2 linked regions of the Rhinolophus ferrumequinum genome follow. The protein of the gene in region 1 interacts with the protein of each later gene in a pairwise test. Links are inferred from orthologs where the notes say so. Each region holds a gene or a part of one and is shown on either strand. Other genes may lie near its edges.

Region 1 (3,745 bases):
TCTACTGTGTACAAGGCACCTCCACAGCTGTTCCATTCTCCCGAAAACCAGAAAAGATGGGTCATATTATCATCCCCATTTTATAGGTATGGAAACTGAGGCTCAGAGTGGTGAAGTGACTTGCCCTAGGTCAGACAGTAGTATAGGAACACCCAGATCTGTGAATCCAACACCCAGGCCTTGTCCCCTTCTGCACTCCCACCTCTGGGAGTGCTTCTCTTCAGGAGAAATTTCACTCCCCCAAGAAGTCCTCTTCTCTGAGACCTGCTGGCTGATTTTCCTGGGTCCTGGGGTCTAACCACTCCGTGGGCACCGTACTAGTTGGGTTCCTTGCCCTCGGGGTGGCATGCAGGCCAAGAGATGCTGTGGGGGGTGCCCAGGGCTCAGAGGCCTGTTCTCTCAGCCTAATTGCTGTGTGACTTTGGGCTGCTGCAGAGCCTCTCTGGGCCTCACATTTTCCACCTCTTTTTCAGGGGAAGCCCCGGGTAAATTTATAACAGCTCCAGGTTTGCTGTCTCGGAAGGTGTTAGCAAGGCCACAGAACCCTCACCTGAAAAACAGCACCCCAGCCCAGCCGCAGCGGGGCGGATTATGTAACCAGGCGCTCTGCGCGTGTGTTGGGGGTGTGGGGGGGGCGCAGGGCGTGGCGCTCACAGTTATTCCGGGCGCCGCTATTTTTAGCCCCATTGATGAGGCTGCGTCGGCCGCCGCCGCCGGGATTCCGGAGACGTCAATGGGTGCACGTCACGGTCCCTGCCCGCCCGCCTGCCGGGGGAGGCGCGCCCCGAGCTGGGACAGAGGCGCGGGCGCCCGCGGGCCGCGGGGGCGGGGGGCGCGGCCGCAGCCGGAACTGCTAGGTGGGGGGCTTCCCCCGGGCGAGGGGCGCGGCGGCGCGGCGGCTCGGCTGCGGGAGCGTGAGGCGGCTGCAGCGGAACTGGTGGGGGTCCCGCGCGGCGCCCGCGACCCCAGGCCTCCAGGCATGGTCGCCTCTGAGGTGCGGAGCGGCTCCCCCGCCGGCTGGTGCGCTAGCTGGGAAGGCGGGGGTGGAGAGGCGAGCCACGTTCGCCCGGCCAGGTGAGCGGGTCGGGGGGGGCGGGGAGAGGTGGTCCCGCAGAGGTCCGGGAACAAGAGGATCTTGCGGTTGCACTGGGATGGGCCGGGGCCACGCCGGGAGTCCTGCTTCGAAGCCGGACAGCGTGGGGGAAGGGACTGGATTCCCAGCGGAACCTGCTACCTCGGAGTCAGCCCCCAAGAACGGCGGCCAATGCTTTCTCTAACCAGCCCGCCAAGGGTGGGGTTTGGCCCGCGAGGGGCGTTGGAGGTGTCTAGGCCGGAGAAATTCCTTCCATTTCCCTGCCGGCTGCGGGGAACGGGTTCCAGGAGTTGGGGAGCGTGGCTGCCAGGACGCCGAGCCGCGAGGCATCAGGATTGCCCGGTGCAGTCCTTTCATGGGACTGAGTTGAGAAACCGAGGCCGAGAAGGGTCTCATGGAGTCAGGAGCCGACCTGAAATTAGAAATGCTGAGGAGGTGGCATTTACAGTCCTTTACAGTGAAGTATCAGTTTGGGTTTGGGGCTACTATTTAAGGGCATGCTGGGAAAACGAAGGCTGGGCATAGGTCGGTGGGTTCACAACAGTTCTGCCCAAAGGATGAAGGAAGACTTAAAAGGGAAGCCAGCTGAATCTTTGTAGTGACCTAGAGCTGAAAGGAGTGACAAGTGTACAGTAGGATAAAAATCAAGATTCCAAATGATGGCAACTGGGCAGAAGGATGGACCAAGACTAACAAGATGAATGTGACTGATTATAAATGTTGAGGCCTGTGCTGGAGTTAAGAAAATTAGCTCAGGAGTTCAGGCCTAGAGCCTGGTTCAGAGGCCCAGCAACCCAGGCCTGGGAGCGTCCCACTTGTTCTCTGGTGTTGGCTGTCAAACTGCTCTGTGCAATCTGAGACCTCTATCCACTAATCAGGTCCAAGGGGGAAAGCAGAATGCGTGGCCCTGGGCTCCCTGGTTGGGCTCCCTGGGTTCTAATCCCAGCTTTGCCACTTCTAGCTGTGTGACCTTGGGCAAGGTGCTTAACATTTCTGTGCCTTAATTTCCTCATTGGTGAAGTGTTCATAATAATAATAATGATAATAATAATAATAATAATAATAATAATAATAACAGTCCCTTCCTCATAGTGTTGTGAGGCTGAAATAAGAAAATGCATGTAAAGTGCTTAATGATGTATCTAGCCCATGGCGTTCAACATGTATTTCCTGTTGTTATCCTTTGTTATATTAAAATGCCCATTTCTGGTTGGAGACTTTGGCCAATGCAGATCTTTTGCCTAGGAGGCCACCAGGGCTGCATAGGGTCTGTCAGTCATGTCCTGTTGCAAGGGGGAGTTTAGTTAAGAAAAGACACAGTTATTTTAGGAAAGAAAAGGGTTTTGGGTGGGCCCATGCAGAGCTGGGACTTAGGGCTGGGGGCTCTTGGGGGTCAGGGTTTTGACTCAGCATAGGGAAGAGCCCTCAGACTTTTAATCTGTCCCCAAATGCAAGGGACAGCTCCTTAGCTGCAATATCCTTCCAAGCTCCCAGCTCAGTTCTAATGCAGGCATGCATGAGTCCTCCTCCTTTTCCATCATTCCACGAATACTTATTAAGTACCTACTAGCGTCAAGCTGTTTTAGAGACTGAAGACTACATCGATCGAGAGAGACAGGTGAACAAATGAGCAGCAGTAGTCCTATGGGGATAACAAAAACAGGTTAATGTGGTGGGGTAGGGTAGAGGCGCTCCAAGGAAATGAGAATGGAAACCTGATTGATGAGGAGGAGATAGCTATACAGACATCCAGGGCAGTGATTTCCTAGCAGAGGGAACAGCCAGTGCAAGGGCCCTGAGTGGGGAAAGAAAAGCCCATATGGCTGGAGCACAGTGAGGAAGAGGGAGCAGGAGGTAGGTACTGATGTCTGGCCTGATGCCGCCACCCCATTTGGAGAGCATCACTTTCTCCTCCTCCGGGCCCACTTAGACTTTGCCATTGATCTTGATTGATTCCCCAGTGTAACCTCCTGGGACCCAGGGATCTTGGTTTGCTGCTTCTTGGGTCTCCCACTAGTCATGGCTAACTGCCCGTCTCACAGGAGGCCCCCGGGAAATGCTTGTAGAATGACTGTAGAGGAGGAGATTTTGATCTAGGACAGGATATGGGATCAGGTACCTGCTCTAAGATGTTAGGAATCACTTTCTTGGCACCACTGGGTCCCTGACTCTGGCTCCTGTTCTCAGACACAGGTGGGGATGACCTGGGCACTCAGGTTGGGCCTGACTGGTAGAAGGGGGGTGAAGGCCTGACATCAGACCCGTTCTGGAGTATGGGGAGATGACCGTCATTCTGGGAGGCAGGTGTAGCCTGTTGGCTAGGGCACGTGTGCGGCCTGATTTTGCCTTCTCTTTGGGGTTGGAAGCCCCCCAGATGTTCCAGATTGCTCTCCCCTCCTTCCCTCCTGTGGCCTTCAGTCCCTGCTCCCAGTATACCCACAGGAACAAAGGGGTGCGGGTCGTTCTGTATGAGGAGAATCTGTGTAACGTGGGCCGGAGGAGTTCCCCTTATCTGTGTAGCTTGGGGCAGAGGTCAGGAGGGCAAGGAATCCCATCACCCATCCTTTGGGGCCCTCTTCCTTCTTACTCCCTCTGCCTCCCATCGTGGAAACATCTACTTCTCTTTTCCCAGGCCTCATCACTGCCCGAATG
Region 2 (3,745 bases), on another chromosome or scaffold:
CTACATTTCAAATAATTAGATGTTCCTTTCTCTACTGGTAGTCTTTCAGATGTACTAATTTAAATGTCCAGTTTCTCACACACAGAGGACCTTCTGCCACACTCAAAGAAATCTGCAAATGCGTTAGGCCAGAAGTATAAAATCCCAGACAATAGGATTATTTTCCTAGAAGGTTCTGAAAGAGGAGGCCCCCTTGAACAGGTTTTAAGTGACCTGATGGAAATTGAATAGTTCGTGCTTCTCTCTTGTAAGGGCATGCTGTAATTCTAGTCAACATGCTTCGATAATAATGTACCTTGATCTTCTGTTAACACATTGAGATAGCACTTAAACTTTCAGAACCATTACATACATTGAAGTCAATACTTCCAAGTTTGGCTAAAGTTCCTAGAAAGTAAGGCTTATAATAGCCAGCATTTATTATATTTTGTATAACAGCCAGCATTTATGGTCACTCTGAAAACAGACACAAACTTAAGATAAATTTTTCTGTGAAGTTAATATATAAGATAATTACTTATCTTGCGTCAGCAGTGTACCGCATATAAATATCCTGATCTGATTAGGTTAAGGCCAGGAGGGAGAATTACATAGCAGAAGGGTACTAAACTCTATATGCTTTACAAGACATTACTGAAAATGCCACTCAAGTGTGAGGTTAAAATTGTAATCATCTGTTAAAATGACACTCCTTAATGATTTTAGCATGTTGAGAAAACCAAATCTGAAAAATAAATTTTGTTCTCAAAATTCTGAGTTTGGAAAGTTTGGGTTTTTGCTTTAAGAATTGCAGTGTTAATTCAAAGAAAAAACTGTTATCAATTTATAGAGCAAAAAGAATGGAGTCACCTTGCTAAGATCTATAAACGGAATTCCCAAAACAACCCCTTGCATCTATTAAAATCCTGAATATAAATCATATAACAAAGATTCTGGCAAAAACAAAGCAGTATAAAGAAGCATATTTAAATCTCCTCTTCCCATAACCTCATTAATTTAACTACTGTTAACATTTGATGTCTTTTCTTCCAGTCTTTCTTAAACACACAAATATGGATCATGTTGCACCCCTTTAAGAAAAAATTGTAAATCATGAACAGGTTTTCATGTGACTAAAAGTTATTTGTAAGTATGACCTTAATGGCTCTATAATATTCCATTTTATTAATAAAAGTCCTTGTCTCTTTAATTCTAGATAAGCCTACAAAAATTTGAAAAAGTTTGCTGGTAAAGGAAACTCTATTACAATTGTTTTTTTTTTTTTTGCTTTTATGAGAAGACTTAGATGGGATTTCTGATGAGAAATACGTGTAATGCCAGTAAACACTTAACTAGCTGACATATTTCAAAATATCTTCCCAGGCAAATTAAACTAAATGGGACTTGGAAATATTATGATTTTAAAAGGGCAAGACTGGGTTTAAAAAAAAAATTAAAAGTAGTTAACTTTCAGTAGAAAATAACTGCAAATGTTTAAGGAGGCAAAACAGTTTTCCCATCACTCCCACTGTCATAACAACATCCCACGTAACACTTAGGATTCATAACTGTAAAGCATACTTTTTTCACTGAATGCTGGCATAGAATATGCTATAACTGAACCACAAAAGCCAAATACACATGTTCAGAATGCCAAGTGATCAGTAGGAAAAGCAGGTTACTTTAAAGCAAGCAAGGGACAGTTTTTATCCTTTAACCTCTGGTCACTTCTTTTTGGCTAATGTTAACATCCAGATGCAGCAGGCCACAACTTTATCAGTATTTTACTAGTCTGACGTGTCCTTCCTGCAAGTGGCCATTAGCTGTGTACACTGGACAGAAATGCAAATAATGAAAAGCCAAATTGGCAGGACACAAATTTGCCACGAGGTTTACCATCAACTCAGATGCATTACTTTCAACCTCCTTTTCCCCGCTTTCCCTACAAAAAGCCTCCAAAGTACACCCTGTAATAAGTTCTTCATTTCTAAGAGACACAAAGAATACACATTAACTATACAAGTTTTGGGGAAGGGCTTTTAATAGTCTTCCTTATAAGATGAAAAAAAGGAAAGAAAAAATGAAACGTTTGCTCTCCTGAGTATTTTGTTTAGCCACTTTTCTGTTTAATCAAACTTTTTGTGAATCCTTATTCAACTTATCAACGTATTCTTCCCTGAAATAGTACTTGGAAACAGACGTGACGTGCTGCAGCCACTTGGCGATGTTTGAGGAAGTGTTTCAGTTTGCACAACATCCTCAGATGTCTGCAGGTCCAGGACCAGGGCCACCCTCTTTCCCTTTTCTGCGGCTTTTGGGGTAACCACTACTTCTTCCAAAATCTGATTAGTGAAAACCATCCCTTTCTCAACAGCTGGAACCCACTCCCCCACCCCACTCCCTAAGAAAGCCAGGCCTGCCCAGGGACCGGAGGCAGCCCAGGGGGTGTAGCCTAAGCCAGGTTCCGGGGTACCCACTGTAACCAGGGCACATGTGTCTGCCGGCCCTCCTCACTTCCCGCCTCCCTCTGCCACCGGTCACCTCCGCACCCCACCCCATTGGCGGGGCACCACCTACTCTTAGCTTTGCTGAGGTGCAGGGAGTGGTCGGATACCGAAACTCGGGACGCCTCTCCCGGGTACACTTGTCCCCCCGCGTAGAAGTGACACTCCTCTTCACGGGTTCGGGGCCTCTCCTCTGCCTCCCAGCCCCGCAGTGCCCCAGCCGACAGCAGGAACAGCAGCAGCGGCAAAAGCAGCAGCCTTCGGCTCCAGCCGGGGACTGGAGTCGTCGCGGCTGGCAACCGCGACGGTACCTCCATGACCACGCGAGTGCAGACACAAGTCCCTTGGCGCGCGCGCGCGCGACTTCTCCCGCCGCCAGGCAGCTACAACCGCGCGCTCGACGCCCGCGCGAGCCAGGGCGCGGCCTCGCGAGACCTGCTCCGCCCTCCCACTCCCCGGCCCCCACCCCGCCCCCTGCTCTCCCCGTTCCCGGGGCCCCCCGCCCCCCCCCGCCACGTGGGCGTCAGCCCCGCCCGCTCGCCCCCAGCCCGCATTTGCGCCTGCGCCTTGGGGCGGGCCAGGACCAGGCGCTCAGCCCAACTCTGCAAACGCTACTTGCTGGCATCGCACGTGACTGGCCTCACGCGCTCTGCTGCTCTGCACTGGTTTAGACATCCTCCCATTCCCATTTTTTTCCACAAAGCCTAACTACCGCACAGCACCCCAACAAAGTCAAACTAACCTATCTGCTTTTGAACCGCTTGCATTTTATACTTCTAACAGTTACTCGTTTTCTCTTTGAAGTGATCTGTATGAACAGAGCCACGATTCCCTCCTCTAGTTGCAGCCCTTTTAAGTCCTGGGAAACTTGGAGAAGAAAGGTCTAACATTTATTCTCCAGCAGGCAAGGGCAAACAGGCACTTTGGTGACTTCAGCTTGTCTCAAAATGTTTTTTGGTTTTTTTAAATCAAGATTTTAAAAGTTCCCAGAAGACCAAACTTACTCCCAGCACAGTGTTGTTCCACCTTCTGACAATTACCCCATCACATTAAGGAGCCAGAATCCCTTCTATATTCCTGTGAGCTCTTGTCATCTTTCTGAACCCCGCAGAAGTCTATTAGACTGTCAGCTAGCTCCCTGGGAGATGTCGAATTCATCTTTGTTTCCCAAGGCACCTGACACATGGCATTTGCTATTGTAAGCACTTGATTTTTGTTAAGTCACACCCAATATTCCTAACAGCCTGTCTTAGTTTCAAGTT

What was found. The genes of interacting proteins can lie anywhere in the genome.
Region 2: the proteins of NR4A1 (region 1) and PRDX4 interact in a two-hybrid assay, tested with the Homo sapiens proteins (2 studies listed by BioGRID and IntAct). The link is inferred for Rhinolophus ferrumequinum from reciprocal best matches to the Homo sapiens genes NR4A1 and PRDX4.

The regions. Positions count from the first base shown.
Region 1 is NC_046293.1:52,246,979-52,250,723, forward strand, and holds the start of NR4A1 (nuclear receptor subfamily 4 group A member 1), read left to right. Parts: upstream 1-888; 5' UTR 889-1,074; intron 1,075-3,745. UniProt on the Homo sapiens protein: Orphan nuclear receptor. Binds the NGFI-B response element (NBRE) 5'-AAAGGTCA-3'. Binds 9-cis-retinoic acid outside of its ligand-binding (NR LBD) domain.
Region 2 is NC_046284.1:108,181,315-108,185,059, forward strand, and holds the start of PRDX4 (peroxiredoxin-4), read right to left. Parts: upstream 2,924-3,745; 5' UTR 2,801-2,923; coding exon 2,557-2,800; intron 1-2,556. UniProt on the Homo sapiens protein: Thiol-specific peroxidase that catalyzes the reduction of hydrogen peroxide and organic hydroperoxides to water and alcohols, respectively.